Linked DNA regions of Callithrix jacchus. The protein of the gene in region 1 interacts with the protein of each later gene in a pairwise test. Links are inferred from orthologs where the notes say so. Each region holds a gene or a part of one and is shown on either strand. Other genes may lie near its edges. The genes, in order: XIAP, ERCC3, RFC5, CASP10, SSX2IP, PPIH and NEK6.

Region 1 (3,500 bases):
AACATGGTGAAACCCCGTCTCTGCTAAAAAATACAAAAATTAGCTGGGCGTGGTGGCAGGTACCTGTAATCCCAGTTACTCAGGAGGCTGAGGCACAAGGGGCGGAGGTTGCAGTGAACCACGATCAGGCCACTGCATTCCAGCCTGGGCGACAAGAGCAAAACTTCGTCTCAAAAATAAAAACTAAAAAAAAAAAATGGGATAATCTGGCGAGGCACGGTGGCTAACAACTGTAATCCCAGCACTTTGGGAGGCTGAGGCGGGCCAATAACCTGAGGTCAGGAGTTCGAGACCAGCCTGGCCAACATGGTGAAACCCTGTCTCTACTAAAAATACAAAAATTAGCCAGGCATGGTGGTGGGTGCCTGTAATCCCAGCTACTTGGGAGGCGGAGGCAAGAGAATTGCTTAAACCCAACAAGCGGAAGTTGCAGTGAGCCTAGACTGTGCCGCTGCATTCCAGCCTGGGCAACAGAGTGAGACTCTGTCTCAAAAAGTAAATAAATAAAATAAAAAATAAATGGGATAATTTGAATGTCATAGATATGATACATAAGCAGTGGATGTTTTGGTGATACATAAGCAGTGGATGTTTTGGTCATCAGAGAAGGCTTAGGTGGGTTTTTTCCTCATTTTTATAAATCTGGCATGAATTTCAAGCCATAGTGAAGGCAGAAATCGTTGAGGCAAAAAGTAATTCAAGTCTCCCACTGCATGCTATCCAATTTGCCTGTGAATGAATGAATAATTGAGTATCTTACCCTGGATACCATTTAGCATGTTGTTCCCAAGGGTCTTCACTGGGCTTCCAATCAGTTAGCCCTCCTCCACAGTGAAAGCACTTTACTTTATCACTGTCACCTAAGAAAACATACAAGAATATATGTATTTGTGCGACTAGAAGCTTACACAAAAATATTCAGTTAACACCTAAAAATTAAGCACATCTAAAAAACATGAAAATCTCACAGCTTAAAACAAGACATTCAAATTCACATCTAAGTAACACTTACAATCTCTATCATTTGAGGAAGAAATACTAAATTCACTGATTCAATCTGAGGTATTTTTACAGAACAAAAATAAAACTGTCCAAGTTTTATGTCAAAATTAAGATTGCGACTTTCTTTTTTTTTTTTTTTTTTTTTGAGACTGAGTCTTGCTCTGCTGCCCAGACTGGAGTGTAATGGCACAGTCTCAGCTCACTACAACCTCCACCTCCTGAGTTTAAGTGATTTTCCTACCTCAGCCTCCCAAGTAGCTGGGATTACAGGCATGCACAACCACACCCGGCTGATTTTCTATATTTTTGGTAAAAACGGGGTTTTACCATGCTGGCCAGTCTGATCTCGAATTCCTGACCTCAAATGATCCGCCTACCTTGGTCTCCCAAAGCGCTGGGATTATAGGCGTGAGCCACTGCACCCAGCATACTTTCTTTTTAGTATGTTATTTGGGCCACCAATATTGTACCTACTGTTTCAAACTGTGAAACTTTAAAACAAGTTATTTTCCAAGTGTTAGTAACATTAAAGTTCTACATAATGGAATTATGAGATAAGTTTCCCTAAGTTTATAGCCACATGACACTAAACAAACCTTCAAGATTACTATATAATGGTACATAAATAAAAATCTTTTGAAATAACCAATATTTTATAGGAATTATTCAATCTTAAAATAAATGGGTCAAATATATAATGGCATAATTTTTAAAAATATCTTTAGAAGCAATTACACCAATGACCCTTCCTGGCATGTCTACCATAGTTCATTTGAAAAGCACTCATATGAAGCACCAAGCATAATACAAGGCAGCTTCCATATATATACTTTGTGTACTAAAGGCAGATGTCAATTTTACTACAGCATGAGCCAAACTAAACTCTCTAATGTTAGCTCTTTTTATAAAGTTATTGTGGGCCAGGCACGGTGGCTCACACCTGTAATCCCAGCACTTTGGGAGGCTAAGGTGGGCAGATCACCAAGTCAAGAGATCAAGACCATCCTGATCAACATGGTGAAACCCTGTCTCTACTAAAAATACAAAACAGCTGGGTGTGGTGGCTCGCATCTGCAGTCCCAGTTAATTGGGAGACTGAGGCAGGAGTATTGCTTGAACCCAGGAGCGGGAGGTTGCAGAGAACCGAGATTGCGCCCTGCACTCCAGCCTGGTGACAGAGTGATACTCCATCTCAAAAAAATAAATAAATAAATAAAGTTATTGGGAAGATAAGCATGGTAGCTCACGCCTGAAATTCCAACACTTTGGGAGGCTGAGGTGGGCAGATCACTTGAAGTCGGGAGTTTGAGACCAGCCTGGCCAACATGGTAAAACACTGTCCCTATTAAAAAACACAAAAATTATACAGGTGCAGTGGTATGTGCCTGTAATTCCAGCTACTCAGGAGGCTGAGGCACAATAATAGCTTGAACCCAGGAGGCAGAGGTTGCAGTAAGCCAAGATCATGCCACTGCACTTCAGTTTAGGTAATGGAGTGAGACTCTGTCTCAAAAAAAAAAAAAAGTGCCAGGTGCAGTGGCTCACGCCTATAATCCCAGCATTTTGGTAGGCTGAGGCCAGCGCATCACCTGAGGTGGGGAGTTTGAGACCAGCCTGACCAACAAGGAGAAATCCTGTCTCTACTAAAAATACAAAATTAGCCGGGCGTGTTGGTGCATGCCTATAATCCCAGCTACTCGGGAGGCTGAGGCAAGAGAATTGCTTGAACCTGGGAGGCAGAGGTTGCAGTAAGCTGAAACTGTGCTATTACACTCCAGTCTGGACAAGAGTGAAACTCCACCTCAAAAAAAAAGTTATTAAAGTTATTGTGGGCCAGGTGGTCCAGTCTGGGCAACAAGACTAACAATCCGTCTCAAAAAAAAAAATTATTAAAGTTATTATGGGCTAGGTGTGGTAGCTCATGCATGTAATCCAAGCACCATGGAAGGCCGAGATGGGCAGATCATGAGGTCAGGAGATTGAGACCATCCTGGTCTTGGTGAAATCCCAAAGAAGAGAAGGGAGGGGAGGAGAGAAGAGGGGAGGGGAGGGGAGGGAAGGAGAGGAGAGGGGAGGGGAGAGGAGGGGAGGAGAGGGGAGGGGAGGGGAGGAAAGAAAGGAAGGGAGGGAGGGAAAAGGAAAGGAAAAAAAGAAAAAGAAAAGAAAAAAAAATTGTGAAGCTTAGAGAAAATGCATGAAGTATACATACTGTGCACATATAATAGGTGCTCAATAAATCAAAGTATTTTATTGGACCCATTTTGTTATTGGAGATGTCTACCATCTTTTGCATGTTATTACTTCCTAAAAACAATTACATGAAGAGAAATGTGACTCATAATATGGTAGTCTTTTTCACATAAGTTCAGTAGTTACGTTACAGGTTCAACATAAGAGTTCACAGAATAAGATGAATATAGGTATAATCATGCCAAATTATACCTAAATATTTACCAGTTCAGGGGGCTAAAGGCATCTATTTACTTTTTAGGAGCCCT
Region 2 (4,064 bases), on another chromosome or scaffold:
CTGAGTCTAGCACCTTTTAAAGGTTTGATAGGAAACATTTATCATCTATTATTTCTCAGGGTGGTCACCTATGTGACTTCATCTACATTAAGCTTGCCTGACCCGTGACCCACATGTGGCCCAACACAAATTTCTTAAAACATTGAGTTTTTCTTGCAATTTCTTTTCTTTTTTCTTTTTTTTAGCTCATCAGCTATCTTGGTGTTAGTGTATTTTATATGTGGCCTAAGACAATTCTTTTTCTAATGTGACCCACGGAAGCCAAATGATTGGACGTGACACCCCTGATTGAGATAATAAGAACCTTGATCTCCCAGACATTCCTTTCAATTGGTTTCAGGTTTTTTGATAGTAAGTCTTTTTTTTTTTTTTTTTTTTTTTTTTTTTTTTGCAGAAAATGATCTATTTAGGCAGAGAAAGAAAGAAAGAAAAGAGAGATCGAGCTCCCACGTTGCGGTGGGAGGGGATCCAGAGATGGAGTCTGCACAGAGAAGGAAGGACAGCTCCCACACTGTTGTGGGAGGGGTAAGTCTTTCAAGGAATTGCCTATTAGAAAAATCTTTTAATCCACCTATGACCTACCTGAAGCAACCCCGCCCCCCACCTTGGGCACATGGTCTCAGGATCTCTTGAGACTGTGCCTCTTGCCATGGTAGCTCATCTTCGGCTCAGAGTAAGTACTTCATAGAGTTTGATTCTTTTTGTGGACGCTTTCTGACCAGTTATAACGAGCTTCCATGTAACGTTGATGCTGCCCCCTCTCCTCCACCACTCGCTCCCCTTTCCTCTCAAACACCCGACACACTGGGCCTCAGGTGTGTGGTGTGTGGTGTCTGCGTTCCCGACTGCTGCTCCTCGGATGGCATTTACATGGGACAGCGTCTCACTTTCCTCGGACTTTTGCTCAAAGACCGTCACCAACAGAGAGCGATTCCCTGACCACTCCATTCAACATGGCACTGCCCTCACTCAGGCCCTGTTTGAGTCTTCCTCAAAGCACTTATCACATTTTTGCGCACATCGCTTCATTAGAATTTACGTTCAAGGAGATGAGGCCTTTAACTCGCGCACTGCGCATGTTCTCAACACACAGTATTTTCCTTCAGCATTAGAGTAATGAATGGTGGAGGACGCCCGCGGCAGGCACACTGATAATCGCTAAGCCGCCGCCGGCTCTACGCTCATCCCGCCCTGCCAACACAGCGCTGAGAGGCGGAATTTCCTGTGTGGACCTCAAGAAGCTTCCGGAGTGAGCCGGAAGTCCACTTGAGAGCGGAAGTAGCGGCAGGCTTGCGGTAGTGGTTCCATCTTCACTCTGTTGCCGTAGCTGCCATGGGCAAAAGAGACCGGGCAGATCGCGGTGAGACGTGACGCGGGCGCGCTCAGCCCCGACTGCCCTCGCTGACTCTGCCCCGGCTCTGCTTTGGAGCTGCTCTGGGCTTACCCGCGCCGGCCGACCCCGCTGGCCCTGCCGCGCGCGCAACCGGTTGCGACAGGCCGCTGGGCAGAAGAGATGCTGGACCTGGGCGCAGCCCAGAGAACTCGGCCGAGGGGAGGCGGGTGAGGGGCGCAACGCCTGCGGGATGCAGGTGGCTCTTAGCTAGGAGTTTGCGCCGGCGCAGGTGAAATGCTGCCAGACAGTGCGGAGGGAACCCTAGGCTCCTTCTGGGCTTACTTCTGTGTTGGTATCTTGCAGACAAGAAGAAATCCAGGAAGCGGCACTATGAGGATGAAGAGGATGATGAAGAGGACGCCCCTGGGAACGACCCTCAGGAAGCGGTTCCCTCCGCGGCGGGGAAGCAGGTGGATGAGTCCGGCACCAAAGTGGATGAATATGGAGCTAAGGACTACAGGCTGCAGATGCCGCTGAAGGACGACCACACCTCCAGGCCCCTCTGGGTGGTAAGGATGCCCTTAGCTTGGGCGGGGCCCAACAGTGTGCGGAGCGGCATTCTCAGAGTCAAAACTCACATTCGGGTTACTGCCCCCAGAACCGGTTGGGAAAGAACTTTAATTTACACATGTTGGAACAGCTCAAGACATCAGCGAGCAGTTGTGCACACGTGTGCCGGCCGGACCTGGGCCTCCTCCAGTTCTAACCCCTCAGTTTACTCTCACTCCTTCCCCAGCCCTACCCCATGTAGTAAATACTTGTATCTGTGGAATAAATAGCATTTGTCATGTAACAATTTGTTTCCCCATCTGAAAAACTAATGGAAGACATGTTCGGTAGCAAGCTTTTGCTCTGCTTAAAATAATGTTCTACATTCAGTTGAAATCTAGCCAAAAGGTAACTTGAGGATAGCTAGTAAGATGGGCTTTCTCTGTGCAGAATAGAGGGAAACAGCTGCTGACTTTGGAAACATTTTCTTTTATTTTTCTTTACTCATCTGTATCTCATTAAAGTAACAGGTCCCACAGTTGTCTGAAGGAGTGCTTAGAAGAATATCTGTGGTGTTAGGCAGCTTATTCTTGATAAGGATATGGGCAAGAGTCCAGTAGTCCCTGCAACTCATGTTTCCTTGTCTGTTCTGTCCATTTGGTGTTTCTCAGGCTCCTGATGGCCATATCTTCTTGGAAGCCTTCTCTCCAGTTTACAAATATGCCCAAGACTTCTTGGTGGCTATTGCAGAGCCAGTGTGCCGACCAACGCATGTGCATGAGTACAAACTAACTGCCTACTCCCTGTATGCAGCTGTCAGTGTTGGGCTGCAAACCAGTGACATCACTGAGTACCTCAGGAAGCTCAGCAAGACTGGAGTCCCTGATGGAATTATGCAATTTATTAAGGCAAGTGGAAGCCGAGGCCAGCAATTCCACCTGCCTTACTAATGTAACAACGGGCATAGGTGCTCCATGTTGTCAGCCTGTGGCAGCCATGAGAATATGCCATTCACATTTCCTGTGGGGAGCATAACGACCAATTACCCCAGGTGCTACATTCTGGATTCAGCATTCTGTTCTGGGTGAGGCCATGCTTCTCATGAGCTGCTCCTAGCCATGGGTATTGACACAGAGGGGCTACTATTTCAGGCCCATTCTAGCCAGGGAGAATTTGGGAATGTAGCCCAAAGTGGGTGTGCTGGGGACTGAATTGTGTTCCTCAGATTCTGTCTTAAAAACCTAATACCCAATGGTAGTGTATTTGGAGTAAGCAGTTAAGACTAAATGAGGTCTTGATCCAATATGATTAGTATCCTTGTAGGAAAAGACACTGGAGGATACTTTCTCTCACCTGCCCTCCTTGTCATGTGATTAAATGGAAAGGAGGTCCATGGACAAGAGTCTTGACCAGTAACTGAATCAGCCAGTACCTTGATCATGGACTTTGAGCCTCGCAGCTCTGAAAAAATACAGTTCTAGTGTTGAAGCCACCTAGTCTGTGGAATTTTGTTATGTCATCTCAAGGTGACCAACACAGGTTGTAAACTCTATCTAAAGCTAAGTATCTGCAGGAGACCAGTAGTCAACAAGTTCTGTGAGGGAAAGTCAAAAACAACTTCAGATGTTGTTTTTTTGCAAAACAAAGAGGGTTCCATGTGATTAATAGTTGAACGTACTGGGTTTCTTCTGAGAGGTGGGTGAATGCCATTTAAAAGAGACAGTGGCTTTCATTGCCTTTGGCTATCTAAAGGGAGTCAGAGTCAGCCCTTGGGATCTGGAATCACAGAAGAGTGCTGCAGGAATTCAGTATGATACTGGACCCAGTCCCAGAGAAGCTGCAGGAGTCCTGGAGAGAGTTCTCTTTTCTTGTGATGTGAAAGGATGCCTGGCCAGGTGTGGTGGCTCTTGCCTGTAATCCCAACACTTTGGAAGGCTGAGGCAGGCGATCACCTGAGGTCAGGAGTTCAAACCAGCCTGGCCAACATGGCAAAATCCCGTGGCAAAATCCTACTAAAAACACAAAAATTAGCTGGGCATGGTAGTGGGCACCTGTAATCCCAGATACTCAGGTGAGATACCGAGGCAGGAGAATCACTTGAACCTGGGTGGCAGAGGTTGCAGTGAGCTGAGATAGCACCAGTGTACTCCAGCCTAGGCAACAGAACAAGACTCCGCCTCAA
Region 3 (3,984 bases), on another chromosome or scaffold:
GTTATTACTTAGGAGAGACATCACCACCAAGAAATTTATACAGATCCTTCAACCAGGACAAGAGCAACGGACACATGGATACTTACTGGTACTCAGAATGTCCTGATGAGAAATGAGATCATTCAGGGTCTGTGGCCGGTATTTCTCAACCCTGAAATACAATTTAGCAGGTATTATGACATATAAATGCAAGAACATTTTATATGCAAAAGAATCCTTGGCTGGGCATGATGCCTCGCCTGTAATCTCAACACTCTGGGAGGCTGAGGCGGGTGGATCATGAGGTCAGGAGTTCAAGACTAGCCTGACCAACATGGTGAAACCCCGTCTCTACTAAAAATATAAAAATTAACCGGGCATGGTGGTGCACACCTGTAATCCCAGCCACTCAGAAGACTGAGGCAGGAGAATTGCTTGAACCCAGGAGGTGGAGGCTGCAGTGAGCTGATATCACGCCATTGCACTCCAGCCTGGGCCACAGAGTAAGACTCCATCTCAGGAAAAAAAAAAATCCTTGTAGGCCAGGCACAGTGGCTCACATCTGTAATCCCAGCACTTTGGGAGTCTGAGGCAGGTAGATCATTTGAGGTCAGGAGTTCAAGACCAGCCTGGCCAACATGGCAAAACCCTGTCTCTACAGCTACCTCCTAGGGGCTCTGTACGGATCAAACATCTAACAGGGCATCTGCTAACCTAATAATACGCCATTCAATAAAAAAATAAGAAAAAAAATACAAAAATTAGCCAGGTAAGGTGGCATGTCCCTGTAGTCCCAGCTACTCAGCACGCTAAGGTGGGAGAATCGCTTGAACCTGGGAGGCAGAGGTTACAGTGAACTGGGATCACACCACTGCACTCCATCCTAGTTGACAGGGTGAGTGAGACCCTGTCTCAAAAAAAAAAAGAAAGAGAGAGAAAGAATCCTTTCATATCCTAATTTAAAAAGGAAGAAAAAGCACTTTAAATTTGAACACAGACAGTGGTTCTCAACCAGGGTGATTTCGTCCTCCTAGGAACATCTAGTGAAACATATTTAGCTGTCACACGTGGGCAGAGGGTCCTAGGCACTTAGTGCATAGTCTCTAGGAATGTTAAACATGCCACAGTGCACAGGACAGCTCCCCCAGACCCACCCAGAGTATCTTGGCCCAAAATATCAATAGTGCTGAGGTTGAAAACTGTTCTTATCTCATCTTTCCAGCTGTTTGCCTATAATCTCAACCTGATGGGCACCTACTATTTCAAAGTGCATTTGAAACTGAACTCATACCCAAATAGCCTTCAACAGAAGAATGGATAGGTAAAATGTCTTCTGTCGATACAACGGACTATGATTCAGCCGTAACAAGAAATGCAGTACTGATACAAACAGCAACATGCATGAACCTTGAAAAACTGATGCCGAGTGAAAGAAACCAGACACAAAAGGCCACATCATGTAGGATTCCACTTACATCAATGTCCAGAATAGGCAAATCCATAGAGACAGAAAGATTAGTGGTTGCCAGGGGCTAGAGGAAGGGGAGAATGGGGAGTGACTGTCAAGGGTACAGGATTTGCATTTGGGATGATGAAATTTTGGAACTAGATAGTGGGAGGACTCCACAACAGTACACTGCATTCTGAATGTACTTAATGCCACTGAATTGTACACTTTAAAATGATTACGTGCTGGGCTTGGTAGCTCGCCTCTAAAAGTTCCAGTGCTCTGGAGGCTGAGGCAGGAGAATGGCTTGAACCCCAATGTTTGAGGTTAGACTGAACTGTGATCACACTACTGTGCTTCAGCCTGGGCAACAGAGCAAGACCCTGTCTCTAAAAAAATAAATACATAAAATAGTTACAACTGTCAACCTTATGGGATTTTTTTTTAAAAAACCACAATAAAAGCAAATTGAACTAGCTACTAGACAATGACAACTTGGAGCTTTCAAAACCAAGCCAAATTGCATCAAAGTCTTTAGAGCACTGCTAGGACATCGCTGTTGAAGTAGGATGGTTAACAGTACAAGCTCTGAATTCAGACTTCCTAGATTCACCTCCAAGCCTATTTTCTAGCCCTGGACCATAGGCAAGTCATTTAACCTTTCTAAGATGCAGTTTCCTCCTATGTAAAATTTGAAGCGGTGCCTACCTCCTAGGGTCTTTGTAAGGATCGAACATCTAACAGGGTGTCTGCTAATCTAGCAATACGCCATTCAATAAAAGTTGACCAGGGAGCGTTATTACTCGTTTAAAATGTGACCAATAGTCGCATCGCAGGTTTTGAAGAGTGGGAAGAGGACATTTTGGCATGGAGGCCAACGCAGGTGTCAGAGGACGCAGGATCGAATCCCTGTGCTGTCACCAGGTGCGAAAGCCGCTTTCTTCTTCGGCAAATGGAGCTGGGTGTGAAAGGGTAAGAGCTGGCAAAAGTCCTAAACAGAACGGACGAGTCTGGGGACCTGGGGGGCATCGGGGGAAACCTCTGCGGCTCGGCCCCGACTGCAGGCCCGGGAGCGGCGGGGCAAGATCGGGCTGGGGTCCGGTCACCTGCCCACCCCGGCCACCGCCTCCCCGCGCGGCCGCCCGGCCCCCTCTGCCCACCGCGGCCGCTTGGCCTCTTCCTACCAGGGCAGGTTCCTGATCTTGGCCGCCGCGGGTTGCTCCTGCTGCTTGAGCGCTGAGGTCTCCATGGCGGGGAGACGAAGGCGACCAGATCCGCTGAGATCGTCGCGTAACTCAAGCGCCTGCACAGCGACCAGCCGCGACCTGACCCTGAGACCCTTGCACTCAGAGTTCGCGCGCAAAAACAACTCTCGCGATAAGTGGCCATCGGTTTCCGACTTCCTCCCTGGGTCCCGCCTCCTAGTGTTGCCAGGGCGCCGGTTGCTAGGTTACCAGAGGGGCCAGCCGCCAGCTAGCTTCCAAGCTCCACCTCTCCAGCCTGCTCGGAGCTCTCAGATACCTAGGCGCTTCCAGAGCAGGGGATCGGGAGAGGCAGGGCGCCCTGTAGCCCTGGTCATTAGCACCTATTAAGATCTCACGGCCAAAGCCAATTCCTGCCATAGCCAAACTTCAAACACTTAACGTTCAAACGAACAAAAGCTTTCGGGGCTCAAAAAAAATATTTTTCTAAGTAAAAAACAGCACCCGAGTAACACGGCTGGATCTTGAATATACATGCCCTTGTGAAAAAGGCTCACAATACCTCTCGGCCCCAAAGCTGGGGGTGGGGTGAATATTTGGAAATGAAAACAACCCCAAACACACATAACTGCAACCTACCTCTCTCCGGAATCCGTGCCCCTCACCCAACAAAATTTAGAGAACCAACCACCGGAAAACTACTCCAGAGAAAAACAAACAGAAACTTCCAGTTGGGTTCATCTGTGTCGCTGGAAGGATCTGGTTCATGAACACAGAGGACAGGGTTTCTGCGATCTGAGATACTGAGGAGAATCGTAATCAACATTTTAGTTTTTTTTTTTTTTTTTTCTGAGTCGAAAAGATTCTGGATCATTTTCATTTTCTTCTTTTTTGTAGGTCCATCTTTCCTTTTCTTTCTTTTTTTTTGAATCTCACTCTGTCACCTCGGCTGGAGTGCACTGGCATAATTTTGGGTCACTGCAACCTCTGTCTCAAGGTTCAAGCGATTCTCTGCCTCAGCCTCCCAAGTAGCTGGGACTGCAGGCACGTGCCACTATGCCCAGCTAATTTTTGTATTTTTAGTAGAGATGGGATTCGCCATTTTGGACAGGCTGGTCTTAAACTCCAGATGTCAAGTGATCCACCTGCCTCAGCCTCCCAAAGTGCTGGGGTTACAGGCGTGAGCCCCCGTGCCTGGCCTGGTCTGTATTTTCCAGCAATGAGCATGCAAACCATCGATATTGAAGTCTCTCTCTTTTTTTTTAACGTGATGAGGAAGAGAAAAATCTTTGGAGGATTTTCGAGGCTGGCCTGGGGTCAGCAGTGTTTTGATTAGGAGGTAGCAGTACTCCTTGC
Region 4 (3,500 bases), on another chromosome or scaffold:
TCTTGTTTAACAGTGGAGAAGTGGACTCGGAAAAACATAGATATTTAGCATATTGACACATGGTGAGGCAGCCAGGTTTGACTTCTGTCCTATATAAAATATCACAGCAGAACTACCTTTATCAGACAGACTTAAAAAAAAAAAAAAATCTGGGTGAGTTGGCTCACGCCTGTAATCCCAGCACTTTGGGAGGCCAAGATGGGCAGATCACGAGGTCAGGAGTTAAAGACCAGCCTGGCTAACATGGTGAAACCCCATCTCTACTAAAAATGCAAAAATTAGCCGGGCATGGTGGTGCCTGCCTGTAATCCCAGCTACTTAGGAGCCTGAGGCAGGAGCATTGCTTGAACCCGGGAGGTGGAGGTTGCAGTGAGCTGAGATTGCCCCACTACAACCCAGCCTGGGTGACAGAGTGAGACTCTGTCTAAAAAATAAAAAATAATAATAATAATAAAGTTCTTCTTTGATAGTCGTTTCTGAGAATGTGAAGTCTTCATTACTTATCTCTCAGTAACAATAGTCACATGTATTGAATGCTTATTCCATGCCAGACAAGCATTTTACAGAAATTATCTCATTCAATCCTCACAAAAACCTATGATGTGGGTACTATTATTATGCCCACTTTACACATGGGAAAAGTGAAACAGAAAAGCCAAAAAAGTACCACTGCACCACGAATAAGCGGAGTCCTGGCAACCTCACTATAGACTCCACTCTCACCCCAGGCTATCCTGCCTTCTTTTTTATGTCATTTCATTTAAAACAATTTCATACACTCTCACTCCCATATTAGAATCAGAAAAAGATGTTTGTCTAAAACTATTTCCCTGCACTGAAATGTAAGTTCCAAGAGGGCAGGAGCTTTGCTCTGTACTTTGCTATATCCCCAACTTCTTTTTTTTTTTTTGAGACTGAGTCTAAGTCTGTTGCCCAGGCTGGAGTGCAGTGGTGTAATTTCGGCTCACTGCAACCTCTGCCTCCTGGGTTCAAGCAATTCTCTTGCCTCAGCCTCCCAAGTAACTGGGATTACAGGCACACACCGCCATGCTCTGCTATTTTTTTGTATTTTTTTTAGTAAAAATTGGGTTTCACTGTGTTGCCCAGGCTGGTTTCGAACTCCTGAGCTCAGGCAATCTGCCCGCCTTGACCTCCCAAAGTGCTGGGATTACAGGCATGAGCCACCACGCCCGGCCATCCTCAACTTCTAAAACAGTGCCTGGTACAAAATATGACCTCAACTAATGAATTCAATATGAACAAAAGGAAGATTTCTGGCTTTTCTAGTAGAATATTACCAGAATGATGAGTAAACATCACACACGGGCGTGGTGCAGTGGCTCACACCTGTAATCCCAGCACTTTGAAAGGCTGAGGCGGGTGGATCACTTGATGTCAGCAGTTGGAGACAAGCCTGGCCAACGTGGTGAAACCCTGTCTCTACTAAAAATACAAAAATTAGCCAGGTGTGGTGCCAGGTGCCTGTAATCCCAGCTACTCAGGAGGCTGAGGCAGAAGAATCACTTGAACCTGGGAGGCGGAGGTTTCAGTGAGCCGACATCGCACCACTGCACTCCAGCCTGGGTGGAAGAGTAAGTGAGACTCTGTCTCAAAAAAAAAAAAAACCCCAAACAAAAAAAATCATGCAAGGCCAACTGGGTTAAGAATGTCCATGGTCTTGTGCAAGTTAGCAAGCACAAGCTACTTACCTTTCTCTCTTTTATATTTCTCTATGTTTCTCAAAAGGTTAGGTACAACCTTTTCGCAGAGGTCCTCCAGGACTGTCAGATTATCTTCATCTATTTTATGTTGTTTCTCTAGAAATGCCAGTAACCCTAGAGAGGTCTACAAGAGAATCAATAGAATTACACTTCCTTCCCTACTGATTATCCACTCACTCAAATGTTACCTGCATGGCCACGAGGCACTAGGTTTTGCACTGATAAATAAGATACGACAGCATCTGCCCTCACATTGCTCAGGAGTGTAGAGGAAGAGGCATTACCAAGCAAATATGTATACAATCTATATTAATACCAGGTACCAAATATATAGAATTATACAACAGGAGCCATGCTTGCTGTATATTAACATTACAACAACTGAATGAGTAGATACTATTATAATCCTCATGTTAAAGATGAAATAATTGAGGCACAAAGAGGTTCCAGTAACTTGCTCAAAGTCACAAAGCTAATAAATGGCAGAACTGATACAATCTGATGCCACAGTCTATCTCATTAACCACTGAACTCTAACTCACTGCTTTAAGTGATACTGATTAGGGAACCAGCAAAAGAGGAACACCAAAGAAATGAGGGGGAAATGTTCTGAAAGAATTTTAAATTTGGTGTTTTAAAAGAAAAGGAATTCTCTAAAAAAAAAAAAAAAATCACAATTTGGGCCGGGTGCAGTGGCTCACACCTGTAATCCCAGCACTTTGGGAGGCCAAGGTGAGCGAATCACGAGATCAGAAATTTGAGACCAGCCTGGCCAACATGGTGTAAACCCCATCTTTACTAAAAATACAGAAATTAGCCAGGCATGGTGGCGGGTGCCTGTAGTTTGAGCTACTTGGGAGGCTGAGGAAGGAGAATTGCAGAGGTTGCAGTGAGCAGAGATTGCATCACTGCACTCCAGCCTGGTAACAGAGCAAGACTCTGTCTCAAAAAAAAAAAAAAAAAAATCACAATTTGATGAGCATTTTTTTTTATTTTATTATTTTCTTTTATTTGAGACAGAATCTCAGTCTGTTGCCCAGGCTGGAGTGCAATAGTGAAATCTCGGCTCACTGCAACCTCTACCTCCAGAGTTCAAGCGATTCCTCTGCCTCAGCCTCCTGAGTAGCTGGGATTGTAGGCACGTGCCATCACACCCAGCTAATTTTTGTATTTTTAGCAGAGAAATACAAAAATAAAAATTTTTGTATTTTTAATAGTAAGTAATAGATTACTTACCCGCCGTTGGAAGAGGGCCTGAACACCCCTCAGCCAAAACAGAAAGGTTCTAAATTCATGTGGTCTCTCGGGGAGAATACAAATAACCTTGCCTTTGTAAGGGATTCTGGGATTTCTCTTTGAGAGCTTTCACAGAAACATAACCAGCATAGCTGGCCTACACACATCCTGAGAGATCTAACAACTGTCAGGAAATCCGTTCTCAGCATAGCAATCAGCATAGAATACTGAGTCTAAAGGAAACCACACCTGAACCTACTAACTCTTTAGCAAAGAAACAGAACAAGAGCTTTCAGACCTTTGCTGCTAGTATTTGCCAGAGTGGTATTCTTAAACTAATGTCCAGGTCCCATTTAAATGTGTGTGTGTGATGTACTAAGCATCTAATAAACTTTTAGAAAGTATAATGAATCTCCATAATTACTTCTGGAATCACATCTTAGCTCCTTGTATTCCTCCTGGTAGGATGTTTCAAGACATGAGTTTCTGGCTGGGCGGAGTGGCTCACACCTGCAACCCCAGCACTTTGGGAGGTCAAGGCGA
Region 5 (3,500 bases), on another chromosome or scaffold:
TGCACTCCAGCCTGGTGACAGAGCGAGACTCCATTTATTTCAAAAAAAGAAGTAAAATAATTATCGCACATTTCTCAGATTGAATTCTGTAACCACAAAGTGAAAATTTAAAAATTCGGCCAGGCACAGTGGCTCACACCTGTAATCCCAACACTTCGTGAGGCCAAGGTGGGATGACTGTTTAAGCCCAGGAGTTCAAGACCAGCCTGGGCAACACATCAAGACCCTGCCTCTAAAAAACCAAAAAACAAAACAACAAACTCACCTAACCTGAATTTTTGGTATATGTTTTAGTTACAGGTAAGTCAGTCAAATAATAAATGAAACTGGGATGCTACCTAGGCATTCCAACATTACATCTCATTTCTCTTGCTATAATGCTTCAAAAATCTTTCCCTACAAAAATTAAAGAGAAAATGGAGCTAGAAAAATGGATCTTTTAAAAAGATATTTAAGAGATTATTGTTTGTCCACTTAAACATTTGAACTATGAAGAATTATACATGATACTACCCACTGGCTGAGTAATGGCAGTGAAGAGGGTTTAATCATCTGAGAAAGATCACCCCTGATTTACTATATACTGAAATGCTGACTGAAATCTGGTGATAAGAGGTTAAGGCTGGACCAAAAACTGAAGATGCTGCAGGAGTAACAGATACTATACTAACCTTGAAGAGTTATTAGTGAATGTTAAGAACTGACTAGAAGTGACAGAGTTTGAGAGAAAAGATTACATATAAGAGGACAAGCAGACCTCGAAGTGGAGAATGTAAAATATTCAAGTAATAATAAAAAAATGTTAAGGAGAAAAAAAGTAAGTGGTGAAATGGGCTTATCAGCTGGACTGATTTGTGATACAACAAAATAAATAATCCTCAAATATACAGGTTTAAAAAACAAGTTGTGGTGCCTTGCTGTTAACTAGTGTTTTCTATCAACACTATTTTCAGATTTTAATCACTGTCAACTTGCTGAAACCTACAATTTTAACTTATATGCAAAGCAATTAAGTAAAATAAACTTTTCACCATTATGTGATGTTTTTTCAGATCTCTGCATATATATTACTGCCTTTCTATGGAATACTTTCTCCACGTTTTATTTTTAACCTCAAAAATATTTATGTTCTAAGAAGCAGTGAAAATGTCACTTTTTCTGTGATGGACTGATTGCCATAACTGTTCTTTTCTGCACTTTGTTCTACCCTATTCCAGCACCTGACACATGTAATAATCACTTCTTCACATCTGTCTCTCCCAAAAAGAGCTTCTTGAGGGAGAAAGTCAAAATCTTTTTAGTTTTTCCCTTCCAGAGACTAAAACATAAAGGACATTCGATAAATTTATAAACTGATTATTTGGTTCCCAAAGTTAACAAAAGTTTCACTCTCTGGAAAGTAGAGTACACAATACTAAAACAATTGAAAGGTTATTTGACATAGTGGTTATGATGGTGAGCTTTGGAGTGAGACAAACTTGGACTCAAATTCTAGCACTGTCATGTGTGATACTGGGCTACTAAGTATTACACCTTAGTTTCCTTATCTCTAAAATGGGAATATTTGTAGTATCTAAATCATCAAATTATAACATTTGAAATAATCTCATGTATTACAAAGAATATTTTAAAAATGAGATAATGCTTATAAAACACTTCTTACAGTGCTTGACATGTATTAATTCCTTGGAAAATCATCTCCAGCATTTTCCAGGGTATGTCTGAAAACACAGGAACAGTCTTTTTGGTTGTCACAGTAACTGAAAGTAGCATAGCAGTGAGTGTCCTATTCAAAATACCAATAGTGTCTCCATTGAGAATTATTCATATTAGCAATCTGAAGATTATATCAGAGAGGAAAGAGTCACTTACAGTTCCTGTACTATCATCTACTCTTTCCCTGGGTTTCTTCTTTTGGGGAGAAAGAAGAGAAATCATTTCCTTTTTCATCTGCTGAAGAACCTTCTTAAGTTCAGCATTTTCCATTAGGATTTGTTTCTGACGATATTCATAATCATTCAAGAGAATTTTATACATTTCATCTTCATTCCTGAGAAGGAAACTTGTCAGTATAAAAATGTAGTATAGAAGGAAGTCTGATTACATTTGTCAATTTAAACTGGACTTTACCTGGCTTCAGTTTTACCAGTCCTCCAGGAGCCTCTTTTTCCATCAGCTCTACCAACATAATTCAAAATGTCCATAGCTACAAACGCGAACACACAAAATTAATTCTTACCATACGTGCTTAAGTGTCTAAAACTCTAATGCATTCTATATGCATAAAAGTGGTGTAAGTGAACCTGGTATATAAGTTAGGGTTTGGGCTCAAACAGCCTAATTTTTGAGTTTCTAATTCCATCACTTGTAAGCAATGATATCTTGGCACGTTATTTAACTGCTAAGCCTCTTTCTTCTTGGACACTGGGAATAACAAAAGTATCTACCAAAGAGTGAAGGCAAATGTTAAAGCACCTAACAGTAGAGGTAAACACAATATCTGGCACACAGTAAGTACTTTATCCTTATTAATTTTATTATTGAGGTTGGCTGGTAATAGCCAGCAGGCTGGCTGACTGATTTGATAAATAAAGCTTTATGGAAACACAGCCACATCCACTTGCTTACATATTGCCAATGGCTACTTTTCCCGCTACAATGGCAGATAAGCAGGTTCAACAAGTTGTAGATCCCACAAAGCTGAAAATATTTACTATATGGACCTCTAAAGAAAAAGTTTGCCATGCCCTGTTAACATCATCATCTTCATCAAAGGAGTCAAAGCTCCTGACAGCAGTAATATCTTCTGCTGCAGGTGGCCATGGAAGCATGTGGCATAAGAAGAGTGAGTTACTGTAATCTTAGAGTTAATAAAATCATTATGAAACTATCACTTATAATTGGACCAGGAAACAGCAAGACCCCTATACTGTAAGAGCTCTGTTTCCAGAACTAAATCCTTAACAAACTTCTCTATGTTACATTTCATACCTTCAGCATTTCGTCCTCCTTTTTAATCTTTTTCCCTTCATGAATGAACATGAGGTTAACTAACCTTAAAAACCAGTGATTGTCCTAACGAGTAAGATTAACTCAGGATATCTAAAGATTTCCAATCTTAACTGCATATTACTGAATCTTGATTTCTATTTTTCAATAATTTAAAAGATGAAGTATTCAGATGCCTGCAACAGCTCTGCTGTAGAATGACAGTGATGTAGTCAACACTAAACTGCTTGCTGACAGCAGGCAGTCTATGACATGACAGCCTGAAATGTACGCTCATCAACTGTTTTTCAAATCTAAGGTAAGACAGTTTAGGGGTGTCATGGTATAATATAGGTTAGAGGACTGCCTATAGTCACTTGGAAATCACTCTTCAATAAATAAATCCACACACTTCTTGTGTCTCTTATTTATATTGGGCCAGCAAAACTGTATTGTAAAGCTCTACTTTTGTGTTTCTTTACTTTTTAATCTATACTATGTGAACTTATGCA
Region 6 (4,179 bases), on another chromosome or scaffold:
CTTTAAATTGAGATACACTGGATTTTTTAATATTTTTTTCTTATTTTTGTTTTGTGTCTTTTCTTTATATACACTGGTTTTTATATGCAATCCTTGCTTCCTCAGAGGACAGAGCTAGAAAAAATGATCAAAGGACATAGGAAATAATAACTATTAAATGCATGCTGTTATTTGAATGAGCCTTGCCCAAGGTCCCCGTCTTTCACTGAATTCTTTGAATATATTATATTTATTGAATATCTAGTACGTGCTATTCAGTAGGAGACATTGCAGCTACACTGTGAACAGGACCAGGAGTCTCTACTTTCATGGAATTTACATACTATTAGGGAGGAAGATATATGTGTGTGTGGCAGGAAGTGAGGTGTAGACACATACCATACAAAGATAATGTGGAATCGGGGGTAGCATGAAGAAAACAAACCAGTGATCTGAATGACCAAGGGCTACTTTAGATTAGGTTTAATGTTGCCTCTGAGAAGATAACATCTGGGCCGAGCCCTGAACTATAAAAACATTACTTCCCACAGGCATACCGCAACCAACCAACCAACACCCGCTCCCCCCGCCCTCCTCCGCTAAACCACATTAAGATCTGGAAGGAATATTTCAGACAGAGGTAACAGCTATTACAAGGCCCTAAAGAGAGGAGGGATCTCAGTGACCTAGAGGAACAGACCGGCCAGAGCACAGTAATTAAGGGCAAGTGGCACAAGATGAGGTCAGGTAGATGACAGCTAGATAAATGCACTGTAGGGCTTTGTATGTAAGGAATTGAATTTTATTCTGAATATAGGAAGCCAGGAGTGATTTATAAGCACAAGAGTTATTCTGAAAATAAAAAACTCTATTTGCTCTGTGGGAAATGAATTGGAAATGACAAAACTGGAAGCTTGTGGCAGAACTGAAACATAATCTATTGTACTGACTTCGAGGAAGGAATAAGTATTCACCTAGCAAGCATTTGCGTGCCAACCTGTTCTAAACGGTGAGGATGAACCAGAGTTCCTGCCTTCACGGTGTGCACACACTAGCGGCAGAAGACAAGACACAGCACGTGTGGCTGTGCAGAGGGCTTGGCTGCAAGAGCTGATAAGGAGAACCCCGGGAACTGCCTAATTCAAAAGCCCTTAATACAGCCACGTGAGTGGGGTGACCATTGACCTTAACCAAAAAGATGTCAAGGTTTTCCTCCTCCTCACTCTAGCGTCCCCAGTCTCAGGGGGAGTCTCTCAGCTCAACCCCAGCACCCTCAGCACAAACCGCGAGGAGAGACAGCTTCCGGGGGCGGGGCCTGGTCTTGTTCCGCGTCTACCGCGCCTGCTCCACGGACGAAACCCGCGGACTGGGCTTTAGGGTTGCCGGAATCCCACGCTCCCGACTTCTGCTTCCGGGTCACAGCCATGGCGGTGGCAAATTCAAGCCCTGTTAACCCCGTGGTGTTCTTTGATGTCAGCATTGGCGGTCAGGTGAGATCCAGGAGGCTGCCCACACCTGCGCCGAAGGGAAACTGCTCGGGGCTAGGCAGGCAGAACTCACCCAGAGAGAGCGGACTCGGGAAGCCAGAAAGTGAAATTGCACCCGAACTTACCTGCCGGGAGGGGGAGGAAAGGAGGAGGATGAGTCTCCCCAATCCTAGCGCCCTGTTTCTGGAGAGATTGGGCGGAACGAAAGGTTAGGCCAGGGAGGTGGAGGTGGGAGATAACGAGCGGCAGGGTGGTGGGTCAGTCCATTATGCCCCCTGATCATGGTTGAAGCCCTCATGGTCTTTGACTAGGCCTTCTGACAGTCTCCCGCTGATTGCAGGAAGTTGGCCGCATGAAGATCGAGCTCTTTGCAGACGTTGTGCCTAAGACGGCCGAGAACTTTAGGTAAGGACGTGCTCCACCTCTGCTGGATTAATTGAGGCAGAAGCCGAGCCCCAGTCGGCCGCCTGAATAGCCTGTCTACATCTGTTCGTCCGCTCACTGCTCTTGAGATGTGATTCCTCCGCGCATTGCTCTGTCTGAATGGTTGCCGTTTTGATTGTTCCCGAGTCAATTTATGTTGTTAGTCTGTATGTCTGCGTGTCTGAACGTCTGGCTGGCCGATTGGTGGACTTGCTGGCTCCAGTGTTTATTCTTTCCCGTCTTTAGAGGAGCTCACAACTGTGATGTCACAGTGATTGAATCGTTCACTTTTTGTCTCTTTCAGGCAGTTCTGCACCGGAGAATTCAGGTCAGTTTCAGACGTGTTTGACTTCTTTGATTGCTCCAGAGGGGTGTCCTGGGCTGCAGTGAGGGTACGGGGAACCACCTGCTGGCCTTGAATGATTGCTGGTGACAGTGATAGAAGGTAATACCCCAAGGGTCTATCCCTAGTTGGTTTGCCTTCTTTATGTCTGTTAACCCTGTTTAGGAGAGTCCTTTTGGCTCCAGTGCATGGTAGATTGGAAGGGCCTTGTGCTACCTGCTATCACTCTAATTCTCTTTCTTTTTGATTATAGAAAAGATGGGGTTCCAATAGGATACAAAGGAAGCACCTTCCACAGGTAAGGCTTTTTGGCAAGCCATCCTGGAGTCTTTCAGAAGTACTTCCTGGGGGATTAGGCTCTAATAAAATAAAATTTAAAAAGGAAAATAAAACCAGAGGGTAATTCTTACATTTCTTGAGAAGAAATGGTTCTGTGGACTCAACAACTGAAGATTTATTAAATGTTCTAACTCTACTTATACTTCTCCACTTCTTTTTATGTCTTTAAAACAGAAACTACTTATCTTTACAATATCCTGTCCGTTTCATGCACCTGTTTGTACTAATGCAGATTTTTTAAAAAATACAGTTGTAATCCTAAAGTGCATATAATATATCCTGCTGGTTGATATTTATAATTCCTAAAATTATCATGTACGATTGTCCAAAGATAATCATATTTCCTGGGGAGTGGAGTATAGCAACACTGAGTCTCATTTCAATATACAATCTTTCTCATGGTCTCACTGTGGTTAGTAACAACATTAGCATGTAATTATATCACAGCTTTAAAGCTGTGGGTCACTAATCCCCAGTAAGACTCCTTTGAAGTGGGAGGTGTTATCTGTATTCCACAGAGGAGAAAACAGGATAAGAAAGGTTAAGGGCCCTCCTTAGGGGTAATAGCTAACCACTGTTAAGCCCTGACACGTGTAGCAGTCCATTTCACATAAATTCTCTGTAGTTCTTTCCCGCAAATTTACATTAAGCCCTTGATCTGCCAGGCAAGTACTGTGGTCATTCTTCCTGCAGGCTTTTAGCCCCTTCTTCATGTTACTGTTCAGGCACCAGATCATGTACTTGACCAATTCTAACATGCCCTAATTTGTAACTAAAATCCTTTTTTATGGTTAATTATCCTTTCAGCTTAATCATTCCAGGAAAAGAAAAATCTTTTTTTTTTTTGAGGCAGAGTCCCACTCTGTCACCCAGGCTGGAGTGCAGTGGCATGATCTTGGCTTACTGCAACCTCTGCCTCCTGGGTTCAAGCAATTCTCCTGCCTCAGCCTCCTGAGTAGCTGGGGCTACAGGCATGCACCACCATGCCTGGCTAATTTTTGTATTTTTAGTAGAGAAGAGGTTTCGCCATGTTGGCCAGGCTGGTCTTGAACTTCTGGCCTCATGTGATCTGCCTGCCTTGGCCTTCCAAATTGCTGGGATTACAGGTGTAAGCCTCTGTGCCCGGCTAAGAATAATCATTTTATAAGCCAAAGTGATAGTGTTTTTTGAAATCAATGTTAATCTAATATAATAATGACAAAGTCTATGTGTTTCTAAACCATAAAATCTTCTCTCAGTATTCTTTGCTCTCTGTTTCAGGGTCATAAAGGATTTCATGATTCAGGGTGGAGATTTTGTTAATGTAAGTATTATTCCTTTCCAATCAAAGACCTACAGTTTTAGTTTTTGTTGTTATTGTTACAGCTGCTGTTTTAACTATAGTGACCCAGTCTTAAGGCCTAATGACAATAGCCAAGTTTAATGGGGGTGTTGATCACCCCACAGATACCTACAGGGCCTGAGAACAATAGCCAAGTTTGATGAGAATGGTGATAGGGAACTTCTTGAAAGTGGCTGGGTACCATGGACTCTACATAACAGACTTTAGCACTTTGATTGGGACATTAACTTCCATGGTCCAAATCTCAGCCTTTTTGAGCCAGAAAT
Region 7 (4,243 bases), on another chromosome or scaffold:
GAAGGCAGGCACCACCACACCCAGCTAATTCTTAAATTATTTTGTAGACATGGGATCTTGCTATATTGTCCAGGCTGGTCTCAAACTCCTGGCCTCAAGCCATCCTCCCACCTCAGCCTCCCAAAGCACTGGGATTATAGGTGTGAGCCACCATGCCAGCCTGAAATTTCTTTTTTTTTAATTTGTGGAGATGGAGTCTCGCTCTGTCACCCAGGCTAGAGTACAGTAGCAGAATCTCAGCTCACTGCAACTTCAGCCACCCAGGTTCAAGCAATTCTGTCTCAGCCTCCCAAGTAGCTGGGATTACAGGTGGCCGCCACCTTGCCCAGCTAGTTTTTATATTTTTTTAATAGAGACGGGGTTTCACCGTGTTGGCCAGCCTGGTCTCGAACTCCTGACCTCTGGTGATGCACCTGCCTTGCCCTCCCAAAGTGCTAGGATTACAGACGTGAGCCACCACACCTGGCTTGAAATTTCATTTCTAGGCCTCATTAAACCCATCTGTAAAATGGGCACAAGGGTAAGGTTGGTACACACGGTGGACGTTCAGTTGGTGTCATTATTATAGAACATGGCCAGTCCAAGAACCTCCACTCATTTGGCAAACAGAAGCCCTACAGGCATTCACCCTGTGCCCAGTACAGCACCGTGCCCAAGCTGGGTGTATAGCAGGCAGTCAGTGCCCCTGGCTGCAGCCCTCCTGGGATGCAGCACAGTTTTGAATGTGGAGGGGAGGCAGCAGGGGTAGAAACCAGGAGTGGCCACTCTCGGTGCAAGGAGGAGGCGAAGTGAGAACTGAGCTGCTGCCTTTTGGTCCCATGGAGACTCTGACTTCTAAAGGGGGCGTTCAGCATTCTTTAGAGGGGACATTTACTACTTCCAGAAACCTTTGCACATTGGCTCTTGCTGGTCCCTGGGGCCACAGGAAGTGAGAGCTCCAGATGGAGAGTCGCTGGCACTTTAAGGGCGGCGGGGAGGGGGGGCTTCCCCACATGGGAATACTCTTGGAGCCTAATTCAGTGCCTGCATTCAGCTGGTGCACAATAAGTGCTTGTTACTATGCCAAGTTCAGTCTGACTAGGACTGTGGCAGGAGCAATGCTAGGCGATGGAGGATTCGATGATGCACGGGAGGAGTCCCAGGGTCGGCTGACTGCAGACCCTCATCCTAAGTCTAGAGCCCGGGAAGAGGGGAATACACCGGCCTGCGCCCTGTGAGTCTGGGCCTCAGTTTTCCCATCTCTAAAATGGGAAAGGGGGTCCTTGGCGGAGAGGATTGCTTGCCGTCCGCAGGACTTAGAGGAGTCGAGGGGTCCAGGCCCAGAGAGGACGCCGCCGGGGGGGCCCCCGCCCCTCAAGCCTGCGTGGCGGCAGCGCGCACGAGCGCAGGGGGCGGCGCGGCCCCGCGGCGGGGAGGGGCGGGCGCGCGCGCGCGGGCGCGCGCAGGCGACGGCGGCGGCGGAACCAAGCAGACGGGCGTGCGGCCGCAGCGCCGCCAACTCTTGTGGGACGCACCGCTCCGGCCGCTCGCGGGCCCGCGCGCCGGTCCCCCCGCGGCAGCCGAGCCCGCCCGCTCACTGGTGAGTGGCCTGGGGCCGGGGCCGGGCCGGTGGGGCCCTGAGGGCTGGGATGGGGCGGGGGACGGGCGGCAGGGCCGTCACTCCCAGCCGGGCCGAGAGCGGGCGCGCGTCCGGGGCTCCGCAGGGAGAGCGGGAGGCGGGCGCGTGTGTGGCCGCGAGGGGCTGAGCGTGTCGGCGGCCGGGCGGGGGCGGCGTGTCCGCGTGTCCTGGGGTGTGCGCGTCGCCGGCGGGTGTGCGTGTGCACCCCGGAGCCTCTGGTGGCGTTGGGGTGAGTGCGTGGGGGGACGCGGGCATGGCTCCCCGCATCCCACTTCCCGAGTGGGGACGACAGGCCGAGGAGTGTGCCGGGCGCCGCAGGGAGTCCGTGCGGGTCTCAGGGAATGTGTATGAGCACGTGTGTGCATTCCAAAGTGATTTGTGTGCACGCATATGCCTGAGCCTAGGAGGGCGAAAGTGTGCCTGTGTGGGTGTGAGTGTAACGAATGTGTAGGACCGTACAGAGGTTGAGGGACCCCCTTTGCGCCCACCAGGCCTTTGCACAGTGATGGCCCCCAAGCCAGGGAGCCCATGGAGAGAGAAGCGGCCTGGCGTGGGCTGGGGGTCGGGGCTGGGCCTGATCTGGTGAACCAGAGGCCGGGAGGACAGACTCAGCCTGACTGGGCCTGACAGGCGGTTTCAGAGCCAGGTTACTGGCAGGACGCTCCCTACACACACAGGCTGGGCCAGCGAGGCCTTTGGGGGGCCCCTCGGCCTGGCACCCGAGGACGTGTGTTCAGTTTTCCTAAATACCCTTCCGGCTCCCCTGCCTTTGTTCTTGGTTCTCTCTACAGCCAGGCCTGGGGGGCTGACCCCAGACTTATCTGTGTATGTGGGGGCCTCTCTGCCTGCCCTACTAAGTAGATGGATCCTCTGATTTATTTATACCTCGCCTGGGCTCCAAGTGTGAATCCCAGGACAGTCACACATTGATCGCAGCGGGCTTGGGACACCAGCTTCCGAGGTCTGTCCTTGTAATTTTGACTGACAGGCTTTTGTGTGTGTGTGCGCGCTCTCCAACTGTTGAAAATCTTTGCAGCTGAAAGTCATAATTGCTTTAAGGCAAACTTTAGAAACTCTAGAACTCCCTAGTTGCTCTGGCTCTTGAAAATTCAGTTTGCCTTTTTGGGGGGAAAATGTCGTCTTAGTTTGGTGTACAGTACGTGCGGGCGGGTCTTGGAGGCACGTTTAAAAACCGTGTCCTTAATGGAAGAAGAATTTCATTGAAAGGGACGCAGAGCCGGCTGGAAGCGCCTGCCCCAGACTCAGTGAGTTTGAGTTTAGGGAGTGAACTTTGGACGTCCTCTTTTAGCAAACAAAACCTGGAAGGAAGCGAAAAAGACCCACATTCTTTTTCTTTTTGTCCTGAAAATGAGAAAAAACAAAAAAACAAAAAACCGCTTTCTGGGTTTGCTGGAAATGCCCCTTCTCCTTCCCCCATCAAGGCCAAGCCCTCCCTGCGTCCCCCACCCCCAAATAAAATATGCCTGTGGGGAGCCATGGAATGAGTCACTCCCTGGCAGAGAGCCTGACGGGCAAACATTTGGGAAGGTTCTTGCCTAACTTCCCAGAAGAAAAGGCCCAGGATTTAAAATGGTCCCTGTGGTTTGTCAGCCTATGCCATCCCGTCTGCTTCGGAAATGACTAAAAAGTACTTTCTATCTCCACAAAATGAAGTCTCAGACTGAAGGCCTCAGACCCAGGTTGGTCTGGATTTAGAGCTGTTTGGGTTTCCAGAAATGGAGCGCCTGGCTTTACCAGGTGGCATTTCTGGTGGGTTTGAACAGGGGCAGAGGAGGGGAAGGGGGAGGAAATTCCTGTTTGCGGCGCAGAAGGGGCTGTGTGCTGGGAGCCGTTCTGGGGAGTGTGACTATCCCAGTGGCCTTCTGCGGCAGAAAATGGCATTTGGTTTTGTGCACAAGGAAACTGAGGCACACAGGGGTCAAGCCTGTGTCCTGGGGCAGCTGAGAGGAAGTGAGGGCAGAATCCTAAGTCACCTGACCAACCTCACAGCCTTTCCTCTTTCCATTGCACCTGGAATATGATATGATAAGGATATGGATCTGATATTTGACTGGCTAAGGTGTGCAGACCTAGTGCTGAGTACTTTAACACACATCCATTCATTTTATTCTCTTTGTAGATGGGGGTTATTTTCTCCATTTTGCAAATGAGAAAACCGAAGTTCGGAGACGTGACTTGCATAGTTTCATTAAAGTAGCACCACGACAAATGGTCCCCATTTGTTCTTATTTATTTATATATTTTTTTGAGACAGAGTCTCACTCTGTTGCCCAGGCTGGAGTACAGTGGCACAATCTTCGCTCATTGCACCCTCTGCCTCCTGAGTTTAAGTAGTCCTCCTGCCTCAGCCTCCTGAGTAGCTGGGATTACAGGAGTGCCTCACCATGCTCTGATAATTTTTGTATTTTTAGTAGAGATAAGGTTTCACCATGTTGGCCAGGCCGCTCTCGAACTCCTGACCTCAGGTGATCCACCCGCCTCGGCCTCCCAAAGTGCTGGGATTACAGGTATGAGCCACTGTGTCCAGTTTTGTCCCCATTTGTTGAGGATATACTATGTGCTAGGTCTGGTGCTGTATTTCACCCAGTCCACCCCCCAGCACTG

The links.
Region 2: the proteins of XIAP (region 1) and ERCC3 interact in binary tests that used the Homo sapiens proteins (3 or more experiments, as listed by UniProt). The two-hybrid records come from large-scale screens. The link is inferred for Callithrix jacchus from reciprocal best matches to the Homo sapiens genes XIAP and ERCC3.
Region 3: the proteins of XIAP (region 1) and RFC5 interact in binary tests that used the Homo sapiens proteins (3 or more experiments, as listed by UniProt). The link is inferred for Callithrix jacchus from reciprocal best matches to the Homo sapiens genes XIAP and RFC5.
Region 4: the proteins of XIAP (region 1) and CASP10 interact in binary tests that used the Homo sapiens proteins (3 or more experiments, as listed by UniProt). The two-hybrid records come from large-scale screens. The link is inferred for Callithrix jacchus from reciprocal best matches to the Homo sapiens genes XIAP and CASP10.
Region 5: the proteins of XIAP (region 1) and SSX2IP interact in binary tests that used the Homo sapiens proteins (3 or more experiments, as listed by UniProt). The two-hybrid records come from large-scale screens. The link is inferred for Callithrix jacchus from reciprocal best matches to the Homo sapiens genes XIAP and SSX2IP.
Region 6: the proteins of XIAP (region 1) and PPIH interact in binary tests that used the Homo sapiens proteins (3 or more experiments, as listed by UniProt). The two-hybrid records come from large-scale screens. The link is inferred for Callithrix jacchus from reciprocal best matches to the Homo sapiens genes XIAP and PPIH.
Region 7: the proteins of XIAP (region 1) and NEK6 interact in binary tests that used the Homo sapiens proteins (3 or more experiments, as listed by UniProt). The two-hybrid records come from large-scale screens. The link is inferred for Callithrix jacchus from reciprocal best matches to the Homo sapiens genes XIAP and NEK6.

What each region holds. Positions count from the first base shown.
Region 1 is NC_133524.1:119,628,224-119,631,723, reverse strand, and holds part of XIAP (E3 ubiquitin-protein ligase XIAP), read right to left. Parts: intron 861-3,500; coding exon 761-860; intron 1-760.
Region 2 is NC_133507.1:37,182,580-37,186,643, forward strand, and holds the start of ERCC3 (general transcription and DNA repair factor IIH helicase/translocase subunit XPB), read left to right. Parts: upstream 1-1,264; 5' UTR 1,265-1,332; coding exon 1,333-1,360; exon of another isoform or gene 1,361-1,560; intron 1,561-1,696; coding exon 1,697-1,902; intron 1,903-2,553; coding exon 2,554-2,790; intron 2,791-4,064. UniProt on the Homo sapiens protein: ATP-dependent 3'-5' DNA helicase/translocase. Binds dsDNA rather than ssDNA, unzipping it in a translocase rather than classical helicase activity. Component of the general transcription and DNA repair factor IIH (TFIIH) core complex.
Region 3 is NC_133510.1:121,071,747-121,075,730, reverse strand, and holds the start of RFC5 (replication factor C subunit 5), read right to left. Parts: upstream 2,801-3,984; 5' UTR 2,676-2,800; coding exon 2,611-2,675; intron 2,399-2,610; exon of another isoform or gene 2,268-2,398; intron 152-2,267; coding exon 87-151; intron 1-86. UniProt on the Homo sapiens protein: Subunit of the replication factor C (RFC) complex which acts during elongation of primed DNA templates by DNA polymerases delta and epsilon, and is necessary for ATP-dependent loading of proliferating cell nuclear antigen (PCNA) onto primed DNA.
Region 4 is NC_133507.1:122,282,010-122,285,509, reverse strand, and holds part of CASP10 (caspase-10), read right to left. Parts: intron 1,846-3,500; coding exon 1,710-1,845; intron 1-1,709. UniProt on the Homo sapiens protein: Involved in the activation cascade of caspases responsible for apoptosis execution. Recruited to both Fas- and TNFR-1 receptors in a FADD dependent manner. May participate in the granzyme B apoptotic pathways.
Region 5 is NC_133508.1:121,877,399-121,880,898, forward strand, and holds part of SSX2IP (afadin- and alpha-actinin-binding protein), read right to left. Parts: intron 2,207-3,500; coding exon 2,131-2,206; intron 2,051-2,130; coding exon 1,873-2,050; intron 1-1,872. UniProt on the Homo sapiens protein: Belongs to an adhesion system, which plays a role in the organization of homotypic, interneuronal and heterotypic cell-cell adherens junctions (AJs).
Region 6 is NC_133508.1:79,296,039-79,300,217, forward strand, and holds the start of PPIH (peptidyl-prolyl cis-trans isomerase H), read left to right. Parts: upstream 1-1,379; 5' UTR 1,380-1,403; coding exon 1,404-1,469; intron 1,470-1,534; exon of another isoform or gene 1,535-1,723; intron 1,724-1,777; exon of another isoform or gene 1,778-1,806; coding exon 1,807-1,871; intron 1,872-2,193; coding exon 2,194-2,217; exon of another isoform or gene 2,218-2,308; coding exon of another isoform or gene 2,309-2,334; intron 2,335-2,485; coding exon 2,486-2,530; intron 2,531-3,831; coding exon 3,832-3,874; intron 3,875-4,179. UniProt on the Homo sapiens protein: PPIase that catalyzes the cis-trans isomerization of proline imidic peptide bonds in oligopeptides and may therefore assist protein folding. Participates in pre-mRNA splicing.
Region 7 is NC_133502.1:172,878,106-172,882,348, forward strand, and holds the start of NEK6 (serine/threonine-protein kinase Nek6), read left to right. Parts: upstream 1-1,443; 5' UTR 1,444-1,579; intron 1,580-1,701; exon of another isoform or gene 1,702-1,847; intron 1,848-3,198; exon of another isoform or gene 3,199-3,318; intron 3,319-4,243. UniProt on the Homo sapiens protein: Protein kinase which plays an important role in mitotic cell cycle progression. Required for chromosome segregation at metaphase-anaphase transition, robust mitotic spindle formation and cytokinesis.